Linked DNA regions of Oryzias latipes. The protein of the gene in region 2 purifies or fractionates together with the protein of the main gene of each other region. This does not show direct contact. Links are inferred from orthologs where the notes say so. Each region holds a gene or a part of one and is shown on either strand. Other genes may lie near its edges.

What was found.
Region 1: the proteins of nod1 (region 2) and sugt1 purify together in Homo sapiens (affinity purification with western blotting; 3 studies listed by BioGRID and IntAct, with this or other methods). This does not show direct contact. The link is inferred for Oryzias latipes from reciprocal best matches to the Homo sapiens genes NOD1 and SUGT1.
Region 3: the proteins of nod1 (region 2) and ripk2 purify together in Homo sapiens (affinity purification with western blotting; 4 studies listed by BioGRID and IntAct, with this or other methods). This does not show direct contact. The link is inferred for Oryzias latipes from reciprocal best matches to the Homo sapiens genes NOD1 and RIPK2.

Annotation. Positions count from the first base shown.
Region 1 is NC_019875.2:17,071,793-17,076,769, reverse strand, and holds the end of sugt1 (protein SGT1 homolog), read right to left. Parts: coding exon 4,926-4,977; intron 4,306-4,925; coding exon 4,133-4,305; intron 1,880-4,132; coding exon 1,778-1,879; 3' UTR 1,346-1,777; downstream 1-1,345. UniProt on the Homo sapiens protein: May play a role in ubiquitination and subsequent proteasomal degradation of target proteins.
Region 2 is NC_019874.2:8,865,546-8,870,543, forward strand, and holds part of nod1 (nucleotide-binding oligomerization domain-containing protein 1), read right to left. Parts: intron 4,913-4,998; 5' UTR 4,866-4,912; coding exon 4,698-4,865; intron 4,621-4,697; coding exon 4,446-4,620; intron 2,486-4,445; coding exon 673-2,485; intron 112-672; coding exon 28-111; intron 1-27. UniProt on the Homo sapiens protein: Pattern recognition receptor (PRR) that detects bacterial peptidoglycan fragments and other danger signals and thus participates in both innate and adaptive immune responses.
Region 3 is NC_019875.2:13,792,568-13,796,716, reverse strand, and holds the end of ripk2 (receptor-interacting serine/threonine-protein kinase 2), read right to left. Parts: intron 3,295-4,149; coding exon 2,900-3,294; 3' UTR 1,480-2,899; downstream 1-1,479.

The DNA.
Region 1 (4,977 bases), on a different chromosome or scaffold from region 2:
ATATGACGTCACAGATTTCCCAAAGTAAAAACCTGATAAATGCAAACGTTTAACAGACTAAGAATCCACTGTGTTCTGATGATGAAAACATGGAAAAAAAAAACACATTCAAATACATTCTGTAACCCTTGTGCTATTAGTTGGGTCATCTAGACCCACTAGACAGTGCTCTGAACCTTTTTTCTTCAATGATTTGTGATCTTCACTGCTGTCCATGGATTACATGAAATCTTTCCACCTTTGTCATGGTAGGGAGAACACGTTAATGTAAGGGTGGGGTCATCTAAGATAGCACAAGGGTTAATCACAAAAGTTGCTCAAACGCAATGCATTGTGGTCTATATTTGACAATATAGTGAGCACTGATGCACATTGGTTTTCGCAGAGACTTCTGGGAAAATTATAGGGCATGTAAATTTTGGAATAGCAGATTCGGAGAGCACTACAAAATATCAAACTCACTTTATAGTTTATACTGAATCCGGACACAACCCCGATCTTGCTTTCAAGTGGTAGGGGGTGTGGCCTTCCCACAAGCTAACTCCTGATTGGCGATAGTGGTTGCCATAGACGCGTTGATTCAGACAGACTAAAACGAATCACTGCTAACTGACATTGTGTGGCTCCAACATGGCGACGTAAGTTTTGCCAAAAAAAGGCGACTGAGTCGGACTTAAGCCGTTCTCTAGAGGTGGCATCAGACTCCAGTTCTCTTTGGTATCGTCAGAATTCCTTCACTACTCACTACATAGTGCACTATTCAGCGAGTTCACCATTTTGTAGTGCTGCCTGAATCTTCTATTCCAGAATTGAGTACCCTGGAAATTTCCCAGAAGTCTCTGCAAAAAACCAGTGTGAATCACTAAATTGGCAAACGTAGACCACAATGCATTGCGTTTGAACAATTTTTGTGGAAAAAAAATGTTTTTTTTTTTTACAAGTTTTCATCATGAGAACATATTTCTTCATAAACAGTCTTTATAAAATGTTAATATTTATTAGGTTTTTACTTTGAGGAATCGATGACGTCATCATATTTGCCTCTAAAAAAAGAAAAAGGAGCGAGCATGGTGTCTAAATTACTTTTGAAATCCGGAGCACTAGATAGTAAAACAGAGTCCGATACAGTCAATGGTCATACAGTCATTTCAGTAGCCGTGGGTTTCCTCGAGGCGATCCCACCCGTTAACAAAAATCCCCGGAAATGACTATAAAACACAAGATGAACGTTATGAAGTCAAACGACAAATCTTTCTTTTTAACAAACCTAAAGTCACACTGAGAGAACACCTGACGAGTATTAATGTCGACTGATCAGAAAGAAGAAAAACTCTAAAGTCAGTTGTATTTTTAAAATCCTTTTTATTATTATTAGCAACTTTACATTTGTACACAAGAACTGATATTAGGTGATAAAGGCTGCCAAACAGGAAGGTCTTTTGGAGAAAACAGAAACATAGCGATTCTAAAAGTGATGTTTCAGGCCTATCAGTTACACCTGCTTCCCTTCATGTATGTCGGCCTTTATTCAAAATCAATCGAACCCAGTTAGTGATCAGCTTTTTCAGAGAATAAGCCATCTGTGGTTTGGGAAAGGGAGAGTGGGAACGCTGGCTCCCTGCACTTAGTGAAGAAAAAAAAGAAAAAAAGCACTGACATGAGGAGGAGAGGTGGGCTGTCACGCTCGCAGCAGAGCGTCGGGATTCCCGCCGGAGCTCAGACGAACCAACTTGATGACTTTAAACAGGAGGAGGAAAGCAGAGAGAGCTGCACGCGCTCAGTACTTCCTGTGCTCCACATCGTCGGGTGGACTCGCCTCCACCTTCCTCTTGCCCACATCTTTCCAGTTGGTGCTCAGAACGGTGCCAGCAGACTCCATCTGCACACACGCGCATGAGATTTCATTAAACCTTGATGCATAACTTTCCGTGTGAGCTGACCTTTCTTGTCCTTGAAGGTTTTCTGAACTGATTTTGTCTAATCTTTTAAAGTGTCTTGAGCAGCCGGTCTACAGGCTTTCTGAAGGACTTTATAGTTTCTCCTTTGACTTGGTTTTTTCTGTCCTCTCTTCGCACTTCAGCCTCTTAAAAGGGCTTAAAGAACTTTCCGATTAAAATGATGTTATTGGCGTTTTTGACATGTTCTAGCGGGATCCTTCTGAGGATTATATAAAGAATATAAAGAAAATTTATATAAAGATATATAAAGAAAATGTAAGCTTAATATTACATTTCTGATTATTTCTTTATACAAATACTTGTGAAACAGGAGCAGACAAAAACATGCTGTTGCAAAAAGACCTTATTTGTGACATTGGGTTCCCATTGCGCCAAGCTCTCAGCAACGAGAAGGGGAATGGGGGGTGGGGTTGCTCTGCGTCATCGTCCCCCCTCCCCCCACAACTCTGAGGCAAATTTCTAATGAACTACTGCAGCTCTGTGGAAACTATGTCCTACAAAACTACAGTTTTTTTTTTTATTATTTTGGCTAAAAACGGCATAATCATAATTAAAATTCCACTGGGATCACGTTCAAAACAGATTAAATTATAATCAAGTGGGTCTATAAAATTGTTTTTTGCCAACTATTATATTCTGCATAGACCAAGCACTGAATGGTTCCTTAAAAAAACGGCAGAGCTTTATCTTGAAGGGATTTCAAAAGGATTAAAAGAAAATCTGGGATATTTGCAGGCAAAATAAGCAAAAAGAAAGGTGCTGGTTTGTTTCAAAATGTGAAATTGTATTGAAATGTGCTGCCTCTTGGCCAGGACTCCCTTGGAAAAGTGTTTTTTAATCTCAATGGGACTTTCCTGGTTAAATAAAGGTTAAATAAAAAAAAAATATATAATATTCCATTCCATTAAAAATCTAGTGATCTTCAAGTCAACACAAATACACAAATCCTGCAGCTCTTCACTTCCTCAGAATGCTACAAATGAAAACCAAAGTGGATCACTGTTCATATAAATGATCATTTCTGCAGAAAGCAGCCCAGATCCACCTCCAACACGAGCCGTCAGTTTGAGTGTGGATTCATTTTTTTTGTCTTTTTTTTAAGACTCCGCAGTCCCCATCTCTTCTGCATGGATTCAGATGACATGACTGTGGCAAATCAATATGCGTGTTGCGATAAGTGCAGATGGCTGTTTGGGAGCGGCTGTGGGTCGCCGTCAGTTCAGCGTCCGTCTGTGCCGGTTTGAGGAATGCTCCGCTTTTCGCTCAGATTTATGCAATAGTTGGAGGACGTCGAATGGGTCCCGAATTGAGGCCAAAAATTAGCTTCCTTCGTGAGCGCAAAGCTAACGACGGGGAAACGAGAGATCACTTCAACAATACTTACACTATTGTGAGGTGAAAAGACCAAAGCTGCCTCTATCAAAAGGTCAGCTCTCCATGAAAAGACAAACTCTTTCTTCTTTAACCTAGATGGCACTTGCTGAATCAAATATAGAGTTAGAATCGCTGATGCAAGTGTGAAAAACAATGTTTTTTTTAAAACACACTTGTTAAAACTGTCAGCTTTGACCAGTTTTACATCTTCAGCTTAAAGGAGGAGAGAGTTTCTGTGTTGCAAAGAGGAAATTTTACCAGTGAAATAAAACTGCAGTGTTGTTACGTGCTCACTTGCAGATAATGGAGTTTTGTTTGTTTTCTTGGCGAAATCTGATCCTTCGGCTGACAGAGCAGATCTCAAGCTGTCTGTGTTTCTATGATCTCCTGTTTTTGTATGAGAATGCATACAAACTTAGACTCTTCGCTTTCTCCTCACTCCCTTCCTGTCTGCTCTGTTAAAAAAAAAAAATCACTGCAAAGCGGACAAGAGGGTTTCAGGGAAGACATGTTCAGAAAGAGTGAGACACTATCTTTTTTTTGTTAATACCCAAAAGGTCTGATATTTTATAAAAACACGGTTGACACACCGCCTCCCCTATCTAAGGTGGGAGAAATGGGTATGGGAGGATAACTGAGAGGTGCAGTTCTTTCCTGAAGGCTTTTATTTTGTAAAAGGATTAACTTCTGCTGGACAGAAGATGAAGAACATCCTATTCAGCTTAATTTGACTGCTCTCCAGCAGCAGAGGAGTCTGCAAACGTTAAAAGTCAAATGCCACTTGGAGGAAAAGTACTCACAAATGATTTGTTCATGGCTCGTTTGACCTCGTCCGAGCCGTCCGTGTAAATCTGCTGGAAGAGCTTGTTGAGTGCCGCGTCTCCCTCCAGCTTCTCGTTTTTCTCCTCCTCGCTGATGTCCGACACCATCTTGTCCCACTTGCGGGTGTAGTGTAAGGATGTGGGGTACGGGTCTGACGGAAGACAAGCACAAGCGAGATCAGCCTCCATTTTTCACTGAAAAGAGGCAGAATTGATCAACTTTATACACTTTTATTGAACTATTTTTAAAATCAAAGTTAACTTGGAAAACTTGCCCATCGATTTGACGATTTTGTGACTCACAAAATTCAGACTGGCTTTATTTAAGTGTAATACAACCACATAATCCAATGAGAGACGGGAGAGCGGGAAACACAATCCAGACACAGATTTACAAAAATGCAGCGCAGAGAGGCGACAGATTCAGGCCAAGTCTGGACAGACGGCCGCGCAGTTGGATGAAGTCAGATGTCAGACCTCAAAGGAAAACAGAAGATGAGTTCTAACTTCTTCTTTTCCATCTCTTAGGTCAGTAATTAACCCTGCCTCTTATAGAAATATGTGTGCTTGACTACTGAGTCACGCCTTGTTGTCATCCTTCTGCTTTACTCCGTCTATTGTTAACTTGTCAGACTAATGAAAGCCGGGAGCGGAGCCTCGCTGCCCACTCTCAATTTAGCAGAGAACAAACAGGTGATAGTTGCAGAGAGAAGGGAATCAGAAACGGTTAAGTAACAGGTGATGGAGGTGTGCAGGAAGACTGAGGACTGACCGGGATTGAAGTGTTTGATGTTGGTCTGCTGCCCTTCTCCCTCCAGCTTCTC
Region 2 (4,998 bases):
AGCTCCAGAGGAACAATGTCTACTCACCCCAAAATCTGCACAATTTTGTGCTTGCACAGTTCTTCAGCCAAAATCTCTATGCTGCTGTCTGACAGGCTGTTAACAGACAACCTAAAGAGAAACCAACAGGTGAGCAAAGAAGCAGCTCTGCAGAAAAGAACATCCACCATTGCAGATCAGGTTGTGCAGCTTTCAAATGGGTTTCGTTTTTTTTTTTAATGTGACAGAGCCCCCACCCATTTCTGACCATCTGTGAATCTGGTTTGGTTTGTTACAAAGACTTTTGGGAAGAACAGAATTTCAAACTTTAATTCTAACCATATATGTCTATGAAGTCAAACTGGTTTGTTATACTTGACAATGATTTGCCAACATTAGTGAGAAAGAACGGCATTATACAGTACAGACCAAAAGTATGGACACACTTTTTCATTCAAATGAATGGGAAGGTGTGTCCAAACTTTTGGTCTGTACTGTATTTTAAAACAATTTATTTACTGGTAAAAATCCCTTTGATTTGCTAAAAGAACTGATAAAAATGGATCTATTTTCAAAATGCATTTACTTCATTCATCTCATCTCAATGAGGTGGAACCTGAGATGAGTGTAAAGAGTTTTACATTGGACTGAATATTTGCTAAGGTTTAGGGTTTAGCTGCAGCCTTTCCTTACCTCACCACAGTCATCCTGCTGAAGGACGGCCTGAGCTGCTTCACTCCATAGTCACTGATGTTGTTGTTGTCCATGTCAAGCCGCAGGAGCGTCCGATGGTGCTGCAGGACAAAGTTTAGGGCGGTGCAGTCGCCAGAGTACACGTTACAGTAGCCCAGCTTGATGAAGTACGGCGTGATGCCCTTGGCTGTCATCTGAGCAATCTGTTTGCTCCCCGTCTCAAAGATGCACCGCACCATCCAGAGGAAGTTGGGCAGAACGTGAACCTTAGTGCCGTCATCCCCTTTGTAAGTGGGTAAGCCCTTCATGTGGCTCCGGACCACTGTGGACAGGTAAGACTTCAGCGTAGCCCGTTTTTTCCTCAGTAAATTCGAGCATACCAGATGTCCCATCAAGCCGAGTTGAGACTTTGCCAGGAGCCCGCACAGGAACAGGTTGGTGAACAGAAAGTGCTCATTGGTGGAAAATGGTTTGCTGAGGCTCAAATTCACAGGGCGGCCGATGCAGAAGGTGAAGGGCAGACAAGATGGCTCCTGTCTCCAGCTGCACTCGCTGAAGAACTTGAGGATGGTGCCTGTAGGAGCCTGTTCCTCCAGCACTAGAGCAAACGCAGCCAGAAACGACTGCAGGGTGGTGTGAATGAATTCAAAGCTCCCAGGGCCTCTGCCGGGGTCGTAGTCACTGACCGGTTTCAGGAACCCCAAAGCCAAGTCCTCCTCTGTCAGACCACACTCACTGATCTCCTCCTGACTGCAGATTAAACTTCTGCGCTCCAAGCCCTGAAGAGCCAGCCTGGAAAACGCCGTGAGGGGCCTGAGTCCGGCCCTGAAGGTTTCTGAGGTGCAGCGAGTGCCTTTTCTCAGGGAGGAGGCCGCCGGTGAGGCCAAGCGGCTAAGGAAGACCTCACACAGCAGCAGGAAGATGTTTGTCAGGGTGATGCAGGTGTCAGGCAGGTGAAAGTCGTCATGCATGGTCTGCAGGTGCCTGAAGCTCTTGAAGACGATCCAGCAGAAGAGGGGGGTGGAGCACAGGCCGCAGAGGTGGGGGCTGGCATCCAGCTGAACTGACACAAGTTCCCGATGCTCCTGCTCCTTAAAGTGAAGATCGATGTAAGCCTTCAGGTGGTCTGGAGAGAATCCTCGGAGAGCTACCTTCTTCCGCAACACCCGACTTTGGATCTCGATCCCTGTTCGTGCTGTCATCACCTTTTTGGAGCCTTTCAGCAGCTTCCCACTTAGGAGGCTCATGAGCAGCTGGAGGGCATTGGCCTTGTCTTCTGGAGACACCACTTCAGGAAATTTCACAATGTCCACATCCTCCTGAATTTCATCATAGCCATCAAAGGTGAAAACAACCTTCTCAGGAAAGCGCAGGATGTAATCGAAGACTTCATTGTCCGGGTCATGGTCCGGGTAACAGTTATATTTGAACAACAGGTTCCTGAGGGAAATCTGCTCTGCATCCTTGAAGATGTTGAACATCCTGCAGCGAAACTTGAAGAAGAAGAGGGCATCCGTCTTCAGCTCCTTCTTGGACCAGAGGTTTGCCAGCTTTTGCAGGAGGATGGACTTTCCCACTCCAGCATCTCCCATCACATAAATGACTTCACCCTGGGGATTGAAGACTGCATCATCTCCGAGGAGCTGGTCCAAATTGTCCAAGAAGCCCAGGTTCTCATTGGTGTCGTTTAGTAACTCCATCACAGTGTCGGTGTAGAGGTCTTCCAGCTGGGTCTCCTCCTGCTGCCCGTACGACATGATGAAGCTGGTGTCCCGGCTGATCTCGTACCGCAGCTTCTGGCTGTACCTGCTGACTGAAGGTTTGAACAAACAGTCAGTCAGCATTCTCTGTCGGATTTGCTGACAGTCTACAAATGAAAGCTTTTCTCACATTTATCTGCTGACATCAGGCTAAAATTATTCAAAATAAATATGAATAAGTGATGGTAAAAATATTTGACTTCAAGTCTCTGCGCATTTATTAATTAGAGATTGGCTGCCTTCATGTCATGTGTAAACTTGTTCACACTGAAGGTGATTCACGCATCAGGGGTCTTCACTTTTAATGTTAAGTCAATGTTAAGGCACAGTCAGAGGTTCTGTTCAGCGTCGCAGCCTATTTTAGGAGTCACAGCGTGTCCAGAGTTCAAATATCCTTAACTTTGGTGAAGAACACACATAGCATTAACCTATCAGGTACTCAGCTTTGGCTTGTGATGTGTTAATTATGTGATGAGTGGGTTGAGTCTAAACAAACATGGAGAAGAATCGGATTATTCTCCTCTAGAACATTCCATCCATCCATCCATCCATCCATCCATCCATCTTCTTCTGCTCATCCGGGACCGGGTCTCGGGGGCAGACTTCCTTCTCCCCTGCCGCTTCCTCCAGCTCCTCTGGGGGGAAGCCGAAGGGTTCCCAGACCAGCCAGGAGACATAGTCTCTCCATAGTCTCTCCATCCGCCCAGTGGGACATGCCCAAAACACCTCCCCAAGGAGGCGTCCTGGAGGCATACGGACTAGATGCCAAGCCACTTCAACTGGCTCCTCTAAATGTGGAGGAGAAGCAGTTCAACCCCAAGCTCCCAACGGGTGACTGAGCTTCTCACCCTTTCTCTAAGGGAGTACCAAGACACCCTACGGACGAAGCCCATTTCAGCCGCTTGCATCTGGGACCTGGTTCTTTCGGTCATGACCCAGAACTCATGGCCATAGGTTAGTATTGGAACGAAGATCGACCAGTAAATTGAGAGCTTTGCTTTCTGGCTCAGCTCTCTCTTCAGAATCAGAATCAGAATCCGGCTTATTGTCAAGCTTACACTGACATACGAAATGTCATTCCAGTACAACCCAAACAAGATTAAACATACAACAGAAATACACAGATACAGGTCAAAGTTAATTTAGGCGCAGCCAACGTCCTCATCACAACAGACTAGTACAGCGACCGCATACCGGCGGATGCCGCACCAATCTGCCTGTCGATATCACGCTCTGATCTTCCCTCACTCATGAACAAGACCCTAAGATATTTAAACTCTTCCACCTGGAGCAGGGACACTTCACCCAACAAGAGAGGACAAACTACCATTCTCTGGTCATGAACAATGACCTCTGAACTTTATGATTTTGAATTAATTAAAATAATAATAAAAAATAATACAAAGATTCTCTAATTTTATTCTTATTTTTCATCCTCAGACTTGGGGGACAGTCAGTCAACAAACTGGGTCACAGAGAGACGGAAGCACTGCTGAAAACGTCTATCATTCAGACGCAGCTTCTGCAGTAGATGGTCAACCTCACCGTCCTGGGAGAGTCTCTGAATGATGTCATGAACCCACACATGGAGACACAGATGATTCTATAGAGCTCTTCAGAATTTAATAAACCTGATCTCTCAACATCATCCGTGTCTTCATGCATCGTATGTGAGATATAGTCAATGCTTCCATGTCAAAACTTTTAATGGTAGCTCCTCCCACATGCGTCCAGAATGTCAAGTTTATGACCACATTTTTGGACAGGTGTTGAGTAAATTTGACGCTTGTCCAAACAGAGGTGAATTTGATGCGTGAATTGTATTCTGTGTGAATGCAGCATTACAACTTCTGGTAAAACTTGTTTTTAAATATGTAGATATAACGGTCATTTTTTAACTGAAACTCCCATCAAAACAAAAGACAGAGCTAACTTCATCCTTTCATCTTCATGGAGTATTTTTGTAGACATGGCAGAGGCTGAATGAGGCTCTGCTGCCAGAAGAACACTCACTGGGGTCGCTGTTGACCACTTCCATCCCAATGACACTGCCTCTCGGGTGGAAGTTGATTTCCTCCAGCCATGGCTGCAGGTCTCTGTACGCATCACACACTTTGGAAATGATGTAGATGAAAAACTCGCAGGCCTCTTCCCCCTTACACTGCACCAGCTCCAAGACTTTACGCACCTGGAGGAGACTGAGAAGGTCTTTATCTGGGCAGACAAGTCACTTCCGCGACATTGACGGAGGTTGCAGGCTCCTACCTTATCTGGTTTGGTGGGGATTCGCTGAACAATCTCCACATCCTCCTGGCAGAAAAAGCCATTCAGCAGCAGGTTGTCCAGTAGGCACTGGATGCTGGTGAGCGTGGACACCAGCAGCTCTCTGTGGTAGGTCAGCAGGGGTAGGCACGGCCCGCTGGCTTCTTCCATCTGAGCCCCAGTCGCAGTGCAGCAATCACCTTAGCACAACCAAAAAACTATGACAATGTGAAATTATTTTACAAACTCTCCATGCCATTTTACGTGACACAAAAGAGTGTGTGCTGGAGAGTAGATTTTCAGG
Region 3 (4,149 bases), on a different chromosome or scaffold from region 2:
GGAGATCCACAACTAGTATATTCTATTCCAGAAGAAATCCTTTGTCCAAACGTCCAGAAAATGAGAAAATTAAAATTGAGAAACATGTTGTTAGGATCCAAATGCAAGAGGAGCTCCCTCAAGATGTCAGATCTCCCAAAAAAGTCACCGTCCTTTTAAAATGTCATTTGATACTTTATAAAGCAGACAGTCAGCTCACCTTGTTTACAGGGTAAATAAAAAAGATTTGCTCCTCTACGACTGTTGGTTCACTCTTTCAAAGAAACACTTCTCTTAGACAGCAGTCAAGCTGGTAGGATCACATCTCAGAGGTGGCAATTTCCAATCGGTGTCGCAATCCCTGCAAACAACCCGTGTTTTTTGCAGCACTGAGCTCCCATACTCTCGTGTTCCCCCTCTGAGCTATTTTCAGAAACGAGCCGAACCCATTCCTGCCCCCTGCATTCAACAGCTAACACTGTGGAGCCAGTGCTGCTTCTGGCTGAAACAGTCAGTGGATGGGGGAATACGAAGTGTTCTGCACGATGTTCAACCACACCAACATCCTCTCTCATGTGTCTGAGTATGTAAACTTCTACATTTGATCAATGGAGATTAATTCACTACTTGCCAGTCGAGGTACTTAACTGGAACGACACATCCCCATGAGTGTCACCTCGCCATAATCTCCATGAGATTGTGCTGCTGCTCCTCCTCTTCACTCTGAACACAGCTGACTCTCATCGGAGCAGCTGCCATATCTCAAAGAGTTCAGATGATACTGTGGTGAAAGAGGATGATAGAGAAAAGTGAAAAAACAAAAACGGATATGTGAATTTATCAAATGGTACAATCTCTTCTTTAAGACCAACAGTTTAAAATACTCAACGCCTTACCTCTTTCATTTTTACATGGTAGCCTGTGTTCTGCTCTGACATACTGTTTGCTGAGCAGGGCTGTACCAAAACTAGGAGTTAGCCACTTTAACCCTTGTGCTATCTTAGATGAATCCACCCATACATTGACGTGTTCTCCCTACCATGACAAAGGTGGATAAAGGTGGAAAGATTTAATGTCATCCATGGACACCAGTGAGGTTCACAAATCACTGAAGAAAAAAGGTTTAGCGCACTGTCTAGTGGGTCTAGATGACCCACCTCCCAATGTTAAAGTGCCTAGGATAGCACAAGGGTTAAAAACAAGACTCCAAGTTTGAGATTGGATTATTGGGTATTGGATTTCCGCTTTTCAAAATGACGGTCCAGTGTATATCCTGGACAACAAATAAAGCACCACTTTTCTTTTTTTTAATTTGCTAAACTCAAACATGATTTTCAAAGGAGATATTCTGTTACTTCCAAGTCATTCCACTAAAACATGCCCTTTTTTTTCCAAAAAGGGGAACTTAGGCAGGCCCCTGGTGTGAGTGGGTTCATATGGGTGCAGCCTAATGATTCCTGATTTGTTATTGCAGATAAAGAAAAAAAAGAATTGCAGAAATTACAAAGTGATCGATTCCCATTTAATGGAAGAAGTGACAGAATATTTGAAAAAAGGTCGCACTAGAAAATGCAACTTTACCTCAACAGACATCTTAGGTGTTAAACTACCACATAAAGATAAAGATGTACAACAATGTGGGTACAGTACAAAATATAATACAAGATACAAAGGCCGTCACAATGAGGCACAGAGTTTAAGGACACATCCAACACTTGGAAGCACAAAAAGCCTAATTTCTGTTGTCATTTCAGGGACTACGGATGGCTGAAAACCTGACGTTTGTCAGAGTGTGCACTTTAGTAACCAGTAATCCACATTTGAGCACGTTGGGAAAAGGCAAAGGTGGAAAACATTGTACACAGAAAAGCTACCGTTTGGAAATTTAAGCACCTCCTTTAAGAAGCAAAGGCATTGAAGACACCAGTAAGGCCCTCCATTGAAAGTGTTAAATATACTGCTTTGCCAGCCAATGAATAGAATAAACCTAACCTATTCTGCTTACTATTCCATTAAACCAAAACTCTTTTCCTAATGCTGTAACTTTGTTTTCCTTTGCTACATCTTAAAATAGACATCAAAAAGTGTATTATCTGTACAGATACTGGTGCTACTCTCTTAACTGTTCTTCTTTATGGAAGCCATCACTGTTTTATTAAAAAGGAGTTGTTCTTGTTATAATGGAAAACAAAACTTCAAGATGATTGGATTACAATTCCAGGAAAGTTTGCTACAAGAAAAGCAGTTTTGGCAACTTCCAAAAAGTTAGAGCCGATTAATAACGAAAAGTTTCTGGAAGAAAGAGGGCTCTAAAGTATCTGGGTGGGTGTCAAGCCTCAAAATGTGAGCATGAATAGAAATACTGAGAGGTTACTTCGTAATAAATACAGTAGTTATTGTGAGCTGCTTAACTTTGACACAAAAACCCCCAAACATTTTTGTCATATTCTTGAGATTCTTGTGAACACACTAATCGTCTTCTCTTCAGTAAAATTGAATTTGCACCAATATGATATATTTTCTAATGCAAACTGTGCACTTTACAGGTAAAGGGAGGTTTTATAAATGTTCATGTGAACTCATGGGAAAGTGCTGCCTTGAGATTGTACTCTGTCTGGGGTCTTTTCTTTACTGCAGGTTTGCCAGCAAAGTAACAGTCTCCATGGCGCTTCCTTTAGGCAAATGCACACGAGTATCTAAAAAGATGGGCCTTAATAAGAGAAAACACAAGGAAATAAAAAAAAAATGGAGTATAAATACAAAATCCATAACAATTTAAGATCATCAACTCATTCTGTATCTTTTGATTTTTACGGAAGGACAAAACCTACACCTTTATTGCTAACGACAACAGAACCAGGAAGGGTCAGCTGTGGTGCGACGACGCCATCATCGGTCCTCTGATTTGCTGCCACCTCTGCTAAAAGTTTCTGGGGATGTTGCAGGAGGTGGGCAGAGATGGAGCGCTTGGCACAGCAGCTGCAGAGGTGGGACAGCTGATGTCTGTGGGGTACGGGTTCAGGCCCATTTGCTTGTTGTCGAACAGCTTGCGGACGACAATGCGGCAGAAGTCCTCGTCGTGTTTGTGGCAGTTGTCCAGCAGCTGGCGGACTTTGGCGGTGCGCGTCGGCTGGTTGACCACCAGCTCGTAGTCCTCGCGCATCAGCATGGAGCGAGCCAGCAGCGCGTCCAAGCTTTGGTTGAGACAGGCCTCCGTCATCTGGGAGACGATCTGCACGCGCCGCATGGCGATCCAGCTGCTGATGGGGCCTTGTGACAGCGGGGGGGAGTGCGGCAGTGGAGGAGAGCAATCAGCTGAAAGAATGGAGAAAGCAGAGCCATTTGAGACAATCTGATAACCTACATTTGTTGTGCACTAAACTAAAAGAGAACGTCCAATAGTAGCTCCTCCCAGAACATTTGCAAGTCAGACTTGATAACTGAACTCCATCCATTTTCCAAACCTGCCTAATCCTTTTTATGGTAACAGTGTTGCTGGAGCCTATCCCAGACATTTTTGGGTTCATCCAGAACAGTTTACCAGCCTGTTGCAGAGTCACACAACAACAACACGCACACACTCTCACATCCACAAATAGGGACAATTTAGAGTCATCAATGAACCTAAAATGTTACATTTAGCTTCAAAAACAACAAAGACAATCACACATTTTATGTTTACCGTATTTTCCGGACTATAAGTCGCTCCAGAGTATAAGTCGCATCAGCCCAAAAATGCATTATAAAGTAGAAAAAAAAACACAGATAAGTCGCACTGGACTATAAGTCGCATTTTGACGGGAAATTTATTTGACAAAATCTGAGACCAAGAATTCTTTCTCAAACTTGTTTATTTATTCTTTTCATGAAGCATCATTGGCCAACTAATACTCTGTTTTCATCCTGTATTTGTAGAATGTAGTCATTTTTATTGCATTTCTGAATCTATGAAATCATAGATCATCAATAGAATATTATGTTGTTAGCCTTCAAGATCTTACTGTAAAAAAAGTTTGCTGATTCTCTGAGTCACTTAAACTCTTAACACTTAACATACCTCATCCATCAAATTGACCCAGGAACATCCTCTCTGTTCCTCACAAATGAACATAACAGGAGGGTTAACAATGTATGTATTTCAATTTAGTTCTAATATAAGTCACTGCGGAG